Caenorhabditis elegans: one gene and its partner. The protein of the gene in region 2 purifies or fractionates together with the protein of the main gene of each other region. This does not show direct contact. Each region holds a gene or a part of one and is shown on either strand. Other genes may lie near its edges.

Region 1 (5,271 bases), 5.4 Mb from region 2:
CAGTTATTTGAAAAAATTAAAGCAAAGTCTCCAAACTTATACATTTAAAACCTTATAATTTTTGCACGAGCAATACAATGTTCCATACCTCTTTCAAATATTGTAAAAGTCGATATTCGTCTACACTTCCTTTCACTTGAATATAAAAAGTTAATAAAATAAAGAAAACAAAAGACATTGATGATGACCTCCTATTTGAAAAGTAAAGAGGAAAAGGGTGAACACATGGACGATTGAAATGGAGGATTAGTGACTGATCCCCCATGGGACCACACAAAGAAAAGAGAGAAAGCACTCACTTGACAAATAGATACTTACGATGTGTTTTCTTTTCCTGAAAAAAACTTTCAAATATTTTATGAACATCAACCTGTATACAAATAGGACTGATTTCAGAGCTTCCGAGCAGTGATATTTCAGGATGTGATCTGCCGAGAAACTTCATTTAGAAACATTTCTAGCTTTATATAATTCAGTAAAAATTTATTACAACTCGATAAACCATTTAATTAAAAATACATTTGGGAACCCGTAGTCTCCATTTAAAACGAAAAAAAAATTTAAATCTGTCCATAAACTGCATAGCCAGTTGTAACTTCATCATCTGGATAGATTACTGTACTTTGATAACGGGGGAATTCCTGAAAATATTGAAATGTTAGTTACCGTAGTTACTCTACTCTATTAGTCTTGCATCTCTACGGACAATTTACCTGTTGTTTTGAAAATTGTCTCCCAGCGAAATTATCAGCAGCATTCCAATAAAATTCACTACTCATTCGAAAATAGTACTTCACAAGTTTGAACATTGCAAAAACACATGGAAGCAATGAAATACATAATAGAAGTGATGAAAGGAGCAGAGATTGAACAGGAGCCAATGATCGAGAACATTGATTTGTATTGATTGAATAATTTTCAATAAGACTCTGATGATTTGTATCGACTAATCCTCTTGCTTGTTGATTTTGAAGTTGAATTGTAGCACATAACAGTTCGTGACAGTGAGTGTAGAATAGAGTAAAACATGAAAATACCAGCATACATGGTGACATTAATAACAAGATTGCAGCATTTACGGAGACTACTTTGCCAATCTGAAATTTCAATTTAGTTTTCAATCATAAATAACCTATAGTCAACCTTATTCGAAACGCTACTTCGATTCATAGGATGATCACTATAAATGTAACATCCAGTGCCAGCGACAACAAGAAAAAATGTGGGTAATATCACAAAAAGAAGAGCCAAAGCAACAAAACAGAACGCCAATCTGCAGATGAAAACGAGCAATCTTGAATGAAGACTGAAGTACGTCAAATTTGGATTGTAAGACAGACTGTTGTCAGATGGAATTTCAGCATTGTTTTCAGCGTGAGTGAGAAGTTGGTCTAGAACATTGTTCTGGAAATTTCAAATACTGCTAATGATTAGTTTTAAAAAAATTAGCCAAGTAAATTTGCTTATATGAAAATTTATTTTAATCTCGTGCTTATGAGAAACGAGAACAGATAACTTATGAAGGATCCAATTGAGAGGATATGCCATGCTTGATAACATTTTTAAAATTGAAAACTCACGGAATCAGTTTCCTCAATTTGTTTCCAGGTTACTTCTTGGAACAACTGAGTTGAGGATGTAGTGGCTTTTGATGTTGTGGATATAGGCGTAGAAGTTGCAATCGTTGTAGGAGCTGACGTTGTGGTTGTGATTGTGGTAGTAGTAGTAGTAGTAGTAGTTGTTCTTGGTGTAGTTGTGGATGTCGTTTCCTCGCTTTCCACGTCATCAATCAAATCAGATTCTTCCTCAATCGTCATTGTTTCTCCATTCACCACAAGAATATTCGATTGATTCTCAGCTTCTTCATTGTCTGTAGAATTTTCTGGTTCTTCTGTTGAATCTTCTATACCATCTAGGTTTTCAGAATTATCTGATGTTTGAAAAACTTGAGGAATTCTTGGAATTTCAGAAAGTTGATCCTTATGATTCACTAAAATTTTTTTCGTAGGCTGATGCATATTTTGAATTGAAACTTCCTCTTGGTCCCCACTCAAATTCTGAAATTAAAACTGGAAAAGTCATACATTTTAAGAAACATCTCTTACAATAATGTCATCGACTTCTTCTTTTTCATCTGATACTTTATTCAAATTTGAATCAATAATTGGTCGATTCTTTGTAATAAACTTATCAGATGTTCCAGAAAATGTAACTTCGGCCAGTGGTCGAATGGGAATTTCAATTCTTTTTCGAAAAGTTTGAAGTGGTTTTCTACTCTGAAAGAAATAAAAATGAACATTTTGAATAAAGATTTTGTAGATTTCAAGAAAGTTATTTTTGATAACATAGTTTTTTAGTTGGAAGTTTTGTTATTTAAAAATATTTTATTTGGATCTAACTCACAATATGAATTCTCTTCAGCCCACTTTTGGGCAGCTCAGAAACGTTTTCAAAATCTCCATGATAATCATAATTAGCAAATAGATCACTGATAGTGCTTCTCGAAAATCTCTGAAAATTAGGATATAAACGTTTCACTTTGAAATGAGTAAATGTCTAAAAAACCACAAGAGACGCATTAGCAAATGGTTTCTTTGCATCCAATTTTTCACTCCAAAATCCAATTCCAGCGAGAACAAAATAAGCAGAAGCTGATGTGACGATGAGCCAGGAAATGAAAAATAACATAAGATATATTGCATAAGTGTTGGAATTTGAAGGATATTCCTAGAAATATTAATATTAAAAGAAGGGATCCTCGAAACCTTACTTGATATTTTTGTGATCCACATCGCCCTCGAAACCTACATGTGAGGAATACGATTGTAAAGATAACAAGACCAAATGAGCAAGAAATTAAAGAAAATAAACTTGCAGCCAAAAGGGGTTGACTTGCAATATGTTCTTCAATTAACCCGGAATCCAGAAGATCTTTCTGAAGTATGTAAACTGAATTTAGATAAACTCTAAATTTTTAATTTAATCATTAAAAACTTACATCACCTAAATCGAATATAAAGTCATTCATTACTATAAAAACTTTATAATAAAAGTAAGTCTATAATATTAATAACAATAATAAAATGCCCAACACTCGTTAGATCCTATCATGCAAAGGTGAAATTTGCGAGACTAGGTCATCTTCAGCTGTTTTTTTTTGAATTTCATTTTCCGTTCAAAAACGAATGTAACGGGAATGACCCTTCCAATCATGTGGAAATAATCTTTTCATTCACGAAAAGAGACCGGAACTTTTCCTTCACGTACCGTATCCCAAAAATGGTGCAATGTTCGTTCAGCTGCGTCATGGTCGTGACGAAGTGTAAGTGCGTTTAGAATATATGAGGCCATTAGGACATATTATCTGAAATTTCTGAAAATTAAATAAAGAAATCTGTTGAATGATTGTGTGTCAAATAGAGTCAAGATTAGAGACGCTTCCGTATGGGAAATTCAGATCCGATCAGTTTATGAAAAGATCCGTATTTTTCCTATAACTCACTGCTCTACTTTGAAAGCTCATATCTCGATTGTCTTTCGATATATCAAAAATTGACTATGAAAATATAGAAAAATATGTGATACCTTTTTGCTGTTAAATATCTTTTGACAAAATCAAAGATAACCGGCATGAGAGCTGTCAAAGTAGAGCAAACAGGATACAAGACTAATAAAAGAAATATAATAAAGGTGCATACATAAAGCATTCACTATAAAATAACTATGTTTTCCAATTTGTTTTCAAGAAGTTGCACAAAGCCATTTTAAATTAATTTTCATTGTTATAATTGAATATGAAGTTAAATTTTTCCATTCCAGAATTTACAGGAAATCTAATTAAATAGTTTGAATGGAAACAGAAAGAAACGTTCCACAAACCTTGATCAAGAGTCTGTAGACATTATTGAGGTGCGCATATTACAAAAAGATTTATTGAATGATAGATATAAGAGGGATAAGTGTTAATGACCGGCTCATCTACAAACAATTAAAGGATGAGAGAAAGTGTTTGTGATGAGAAAGGCAAACTTGCCATGACGGACCGGAAATACTTTTTGTCTATTGGACTGATGATGACTTTTTGGATATTAGAGGAACTTCAAAGGTGAAGGTTTTTTTCAGTAAATGTTTTGGTCACTTGCTACATTTCCAAAACTGTGCATTTTCTGAGTAATTCGCATCACATTTAAGTAAACATTTAAGAGTTAATGAAATTTCAAATTATGAGGAAATCATAGTAGGAAGCAGAACATTTTCCGTAAATCACTGATGGCAAGCTAATCAGTCAGCTTTCCCCCCACTATTCCTTCGAACCGTATTTCCGTCTTCCACCACCCACCTTTGTTAGCTCAACCGACCCCTGCAAACATGTCAATTTCGGATACGGAACGCCATCAACATTACACAATTTCTGTGTGTCCGGTGCTCCAAACTGGTGCACTTTTAGTGTAAAATCTGGTACAGAGCCGCGGAAACAAAACAAAAACTTAACAACACATTTTATAATAAAATTAATTTTTTCGCTCCCGGTCGGAGATGCTGTGCCCACACCTTTTTGCATTTAAAAACAATGTTTCGTGTCGAGACCAGGTACCGTGTTTTTGGCACAAAAAGCGCAAAATTTTCGGGTCTAATTGTAAGTAATATTTTGAATTGGCACTAAACACTTCGCCTTCAGAGCGTGTTCTAATTACACGCACTGTTAAAAAAATTTATACCAGATTCTAATATATATATCAAATTTAGAAAACAAATGTTTATCGCATAACTTTAATTATTTCATTCATTCCTTGTTTCAAAATGACAGGTTAGTTTTCTTTGTCACATTATGCAACATCATTTGAAATTTTAGACACTTCTACAACTTCTTCTGTAGCAAAGCGGCAAATTGAATCAAAAAACGCTCAGCTTTTGAGACAATTGATTGAAAAGAAAAATAAGAAACTCAAAAAGAAAGTCTATTCAAATGCCGAAGAACAAGAAATTGATTTAATTATTCAAAAATCATTTGATTCAATAATTGGTAAAACTCCATATTCTCCATTCAAAATGTCTGATTGGATGAGCAAGATGATCCAAACAATTTCGGATAATTTAGTGAAGCTCAATGGAAGCAAAAAGTTTTTGGTTCATTGTACTATTTCTGCAAAAACCGATAATCTTGCAATTTGCACGGCCAACATGTGCTCCTGGGATACTACGAAGGATACTGCATACTACTCGGAATGGATGTCTAAAACTATCTTCGGTGCTGTCCAAGTCTTCTTCATC
Region 2 (3,509 bases):
TTCGTCTCTGTCTTCACACATTCAGTCCTGTTGCTCAGAGAACCTGGGAACAGTGTCATATGGATCTGCTCCGTGCCGGATAAGGGAGGTTGCAGGCAGAATATGAGGAAATGTAACATTTTGCAAATTGGTTCAAAGAATAATAGCCAGACGTATCTGCAAAAGACTGCAGCTCCATGGATACGTCAAGGAAGTGATGTCATGCATAGAAAGGTGGTCTCATTGAACCTTATTACTTTATTCCGCCTTTCTTGTACACTCAAACCGGTCAATAAATAATAAGCGACGCGCTATCTGTATTCCAGGTGGCCCCTCTTCCCGCTGTGCTCATTTGTGCCTCCTGCTCAAATGGCTGCCTGTTTTCCCCTTCTTCGTCTCTCTAGCAAAGACCTGCGCAATGTTTTACAAAATATGGGGATTCTTAATTTGTAAGTCATTCTGTTGTCAAGCCAAGTAATGTAATGAAACCTTCCGAAATTGCAGATTCTCCTTCTCACTGTGCTCCACCAAGGCTCACGTGAAGCTTCTGAACAGCACCATCCAAAGCATCGAGCTTCATCTTTCCACTGGAATTGGCATTGCAGTCTGGTCTCCTACCCAAGACCGAATCGAATTAGTTTTCGAGAAGGATCAATGTGAGCTCGCGAAAGTAGTCATGTATAATGCTTTAGGCCACTTAAAAACTAGAAGTTTCTGGGAGAAGACTGGATTTGGCCTACGGGATTGGATCGAGCACGTCATGGAAATCTTCAATCACTCGGCCATTGACATGTTTCGCATAGTAGGTTCCCGCCACGCCGAATCATATCTGAAAAGGATACATAAAACTACAGATGGCCTGGAAGTAGGTACCATGGAATTCGTGTACTGGACGGAAGAAAGAGTGCACTTCATGAGAAGAACCTTCCAGCCTACAGATGTATCACTCACATTTCCTGATGAAGAGAATTTCACGCCAAAGTCTACACAGAGGATTCTCCTGGAAAACCAGCACTTCTTGATGTATCGCTGGGCGGATTCGGAGCCACGTTTCACTTTGAACGATCTCCTAGCGATCAACTGCTCCCAACTCTTTATACCAGAGTCCACATTAACCGCCAAGGACCTAAACATATTTCTCAAGCACTGGATCATCGGATTCATTGGAAATCTCAATATGGTTCAATTGAAGAAGCATGACGGGAGAATGTGGAGTTTGGAAGCCGTGCTGAACGATATTGATTACACAATATCAGCCGAATTGGCCGAAGATATACAGACAGTAGTAATCCCACGATACAGACTGTCAGAATTGTTTCTGACCTACACGACACCTCCGAATATGGGCTCTATTTTGACGATCTATCGATGTGGTTGAAAAGGTGTTTTTTTTTTCATTTTGTTGTTCAATTTTTAAAAAATAATTCTGTGAATAAAATTTTCAATTTCTTCTTGTTGTAATTTTTTTCTAGTTCTGCACAGATATTTGTTCGGAGAAAAAGTTTTGCTCCAGAGAAGAAGTAGACGCAATTCTCGACGCAGCGCTAAATTCATGGTTTTTCTTATTGTTTTTTGAATTAATAAAATAAACTCTAGAACTATAAACGATTTGCATACAACTATTATACCCTTCAACAAACATCTTCCCACAATAAGTAGATCAAAATGGATCGATAAAAAATCCTAAACGCGACGCGCTGTCCATATGCCATCTTAAATTGAGCACTCCTTTTGTGCTCATTAACGTCTCCTTCTGCAGTGATGGCTACCCGTTTCCCTCTTCTTCTTTTTTGTCTCCCTGAAAAGAATTTGCGCATTGTTCTAGAACAAATGAGATTCCTTGATTTGTAAGTTAAAATTTTTTTTTGTTGTGGATAATCAGAAGCTTTTATTTCAGGCTTGCCTTCTCTTTGTGCTCCAAAATCACCAAGGCTCATACGACGCAGCTAAAGCGTAACATCAAATACATCGCACTTGATGCTTCTAGTGGAGTTTCAATTAGGCTCCAATTACCAGATCGAGAACAAATAAACTTAGATGTTAAAACAGACAGATTCGATAGATGTAACTTGAACTTTTGGGAAATTGCCAATGTGACTTATAGGCAACCAACAAGAGGCTACCAACAAGCACGCTACGAACAAGAATTCTGCTGGAAGAAAAATGGGTTCGGTCTTCGAGATTGGATTGATCACACCATGGAAATATTCAATTTACCGGTTATTGACCAATTTTACTTAAGTGGAACCGTGCTCAGTCTGGCTGATACAAGGCAGATAGGCGAAGCTTTAAATGGATTAAAAGTGACAAGCATGGATTTCTGGTGTTACACGGAAGATCGAGTTTATAACATCAGAAGAAACTTGGAGACTGTTGGCTTAATTTTCGCACACCCCGACTCAGAGCATTTCTCCAAACTGTCTACTCAAAAGATTCTTTCGGAAAACCAGACAAGCGTGCTTCATCGTTCGCCGGATTTTGCATTAATGGCTGAAATGAGATATTTCGTCGACGAGGCTTCGTATGCCTGTATTACTTTGAACGATCTCTTAGTGAGCAACTGCACCAAACTCATCATAACGGATTCTACATTAAAATCGGAAGAATTGAACATTTTTCTTAAGCACTGGATCAATGGATCTATACAGACATGCGAATTCTTGAAACTAGAGACGTCTGTCCGAACCCAGTGGAATATGGAGACCGTGTTGAAAGGCGTTGCGCATAAAACCGCATCAAAAGTGAAGGATGGTGCACCAGGAGCGAGAGACATGTTTATAATCCCACGGATCGATCTGCCAAATTTATCCTTGACGTATATCCCATATGATGGCAGGTACTCCGTTTTGACAATTGATGCTCGCTGCGGTTGAAATGATTTTTTTTAAATGTAATCCTTTGTTTTTTTTTGTAATTACTTCTTAAATCATTATTAAAATTTGAGTTGTCGAAGTTTTCCATTCTCTTTGAATTAATAAAATACACAACAACTACCCTTCAACAAACATCTTCCCACAATGAATAGATCAAAATGAATCGATAAAACATCCTAAACGCGACGCGCTGTCCATATGCCATTTTGAATTGAGCACTGGTATCCTTTCTGTGCTCATCTATGTCTCCTTCTGCAGTGATGGCTGCCCGTTTTCCTCTCCTTCTTCGTCTCCCTGAAAAGAATTTGCGCATTGTTCTAGAACAAATGGGATTCCTTGATTTGTAAGTCTTAATTTATTGTAGATAATCAGACATTTTTATTCCAGGCTTGCCTTCTCTTTGTGCTCCAAAATCACGAAGGCTCATACGACGCAGCTTAAGCGTAAAATCGATAACCTCAAACTTCATGCTTCTATTGTAGTTAATATTAGTTTCCGATTAACAAATCAAGAAGAAATAAGATTAGATGTTAAAACAGACAGATTCGATAGATGGAACTTGAACTTTTGTGAAATTGCCAATGTGACTTATACAGTAGGCTACCAACAACAATTCTGCTGGAAGAAAAAAGGATTCGGTCTTCGAGATTGGATTAA

The links. Proteins that work in one complex are often made in the same cells at the same time.
Region 1: the proteins of sdz-9 (region 2) and T05C12.4 fractionate together in Caenorhabditis elegans (co-fractionation; one large-scale study listed by BioGRID). This does not show direct contact.

The regions. Positions count from the first base shown.
Region 1 is NC_003280.10:8,177,018-8,182,288, forward strand, and holds T05C12.4 (uncharacterized protein), read right to left. Parts: upstream 3,365-5,271; 5' UTR 3,352-3,364; coding exon 3,268-3,351; intron 2,936-3,267; coding exon 2,771-2,935; intron 2,728-2,770; coding exon 2,566-2,727; intron 2,512-2,565; coding exon 2,404-2,511; intron 2,277-2,403; coding exon 2,106-2,276; intron 2,058-2,105; coding exon 1,581-2,057; intron 1,405-1,580; coding exon 1,144-1,404; intron 1,098-1,143; coding exon 714-1,097; intron 642-713; coding exon 561-641; 3' UTR 501-560; downstream 1-500. Other genes in the region: acr-14 (AcetylCholine Receptor), read right to left, coding at 89-178; dylt-3 (DYnein Light chain (Tctex type)), read left to right, coding at 4,801-4,807, 4,853-5,271.
Region 2 is NC_003280.10:2,771,844-2,775,352, reverse strand, and holds sdz-9 (F-box domain-containing protein), read left to right. Parts: upstream 1-1,718; 5' UTR 1,719-1,740; coding exon 1,741-1,826; intron 1,827-1,876; coding exon 1,877-2,852; 3' UTR 2,853-2,984; downstream 2,985-3,509. Other genes in the region: fbxb-111 (F-box associated domain-containing protein), read left to right, coding at 349-428, 484-1,357; sdz-10 (F-box domain-containing protein), read left to right, coding at 3,113-3,195, 3,240-3,509.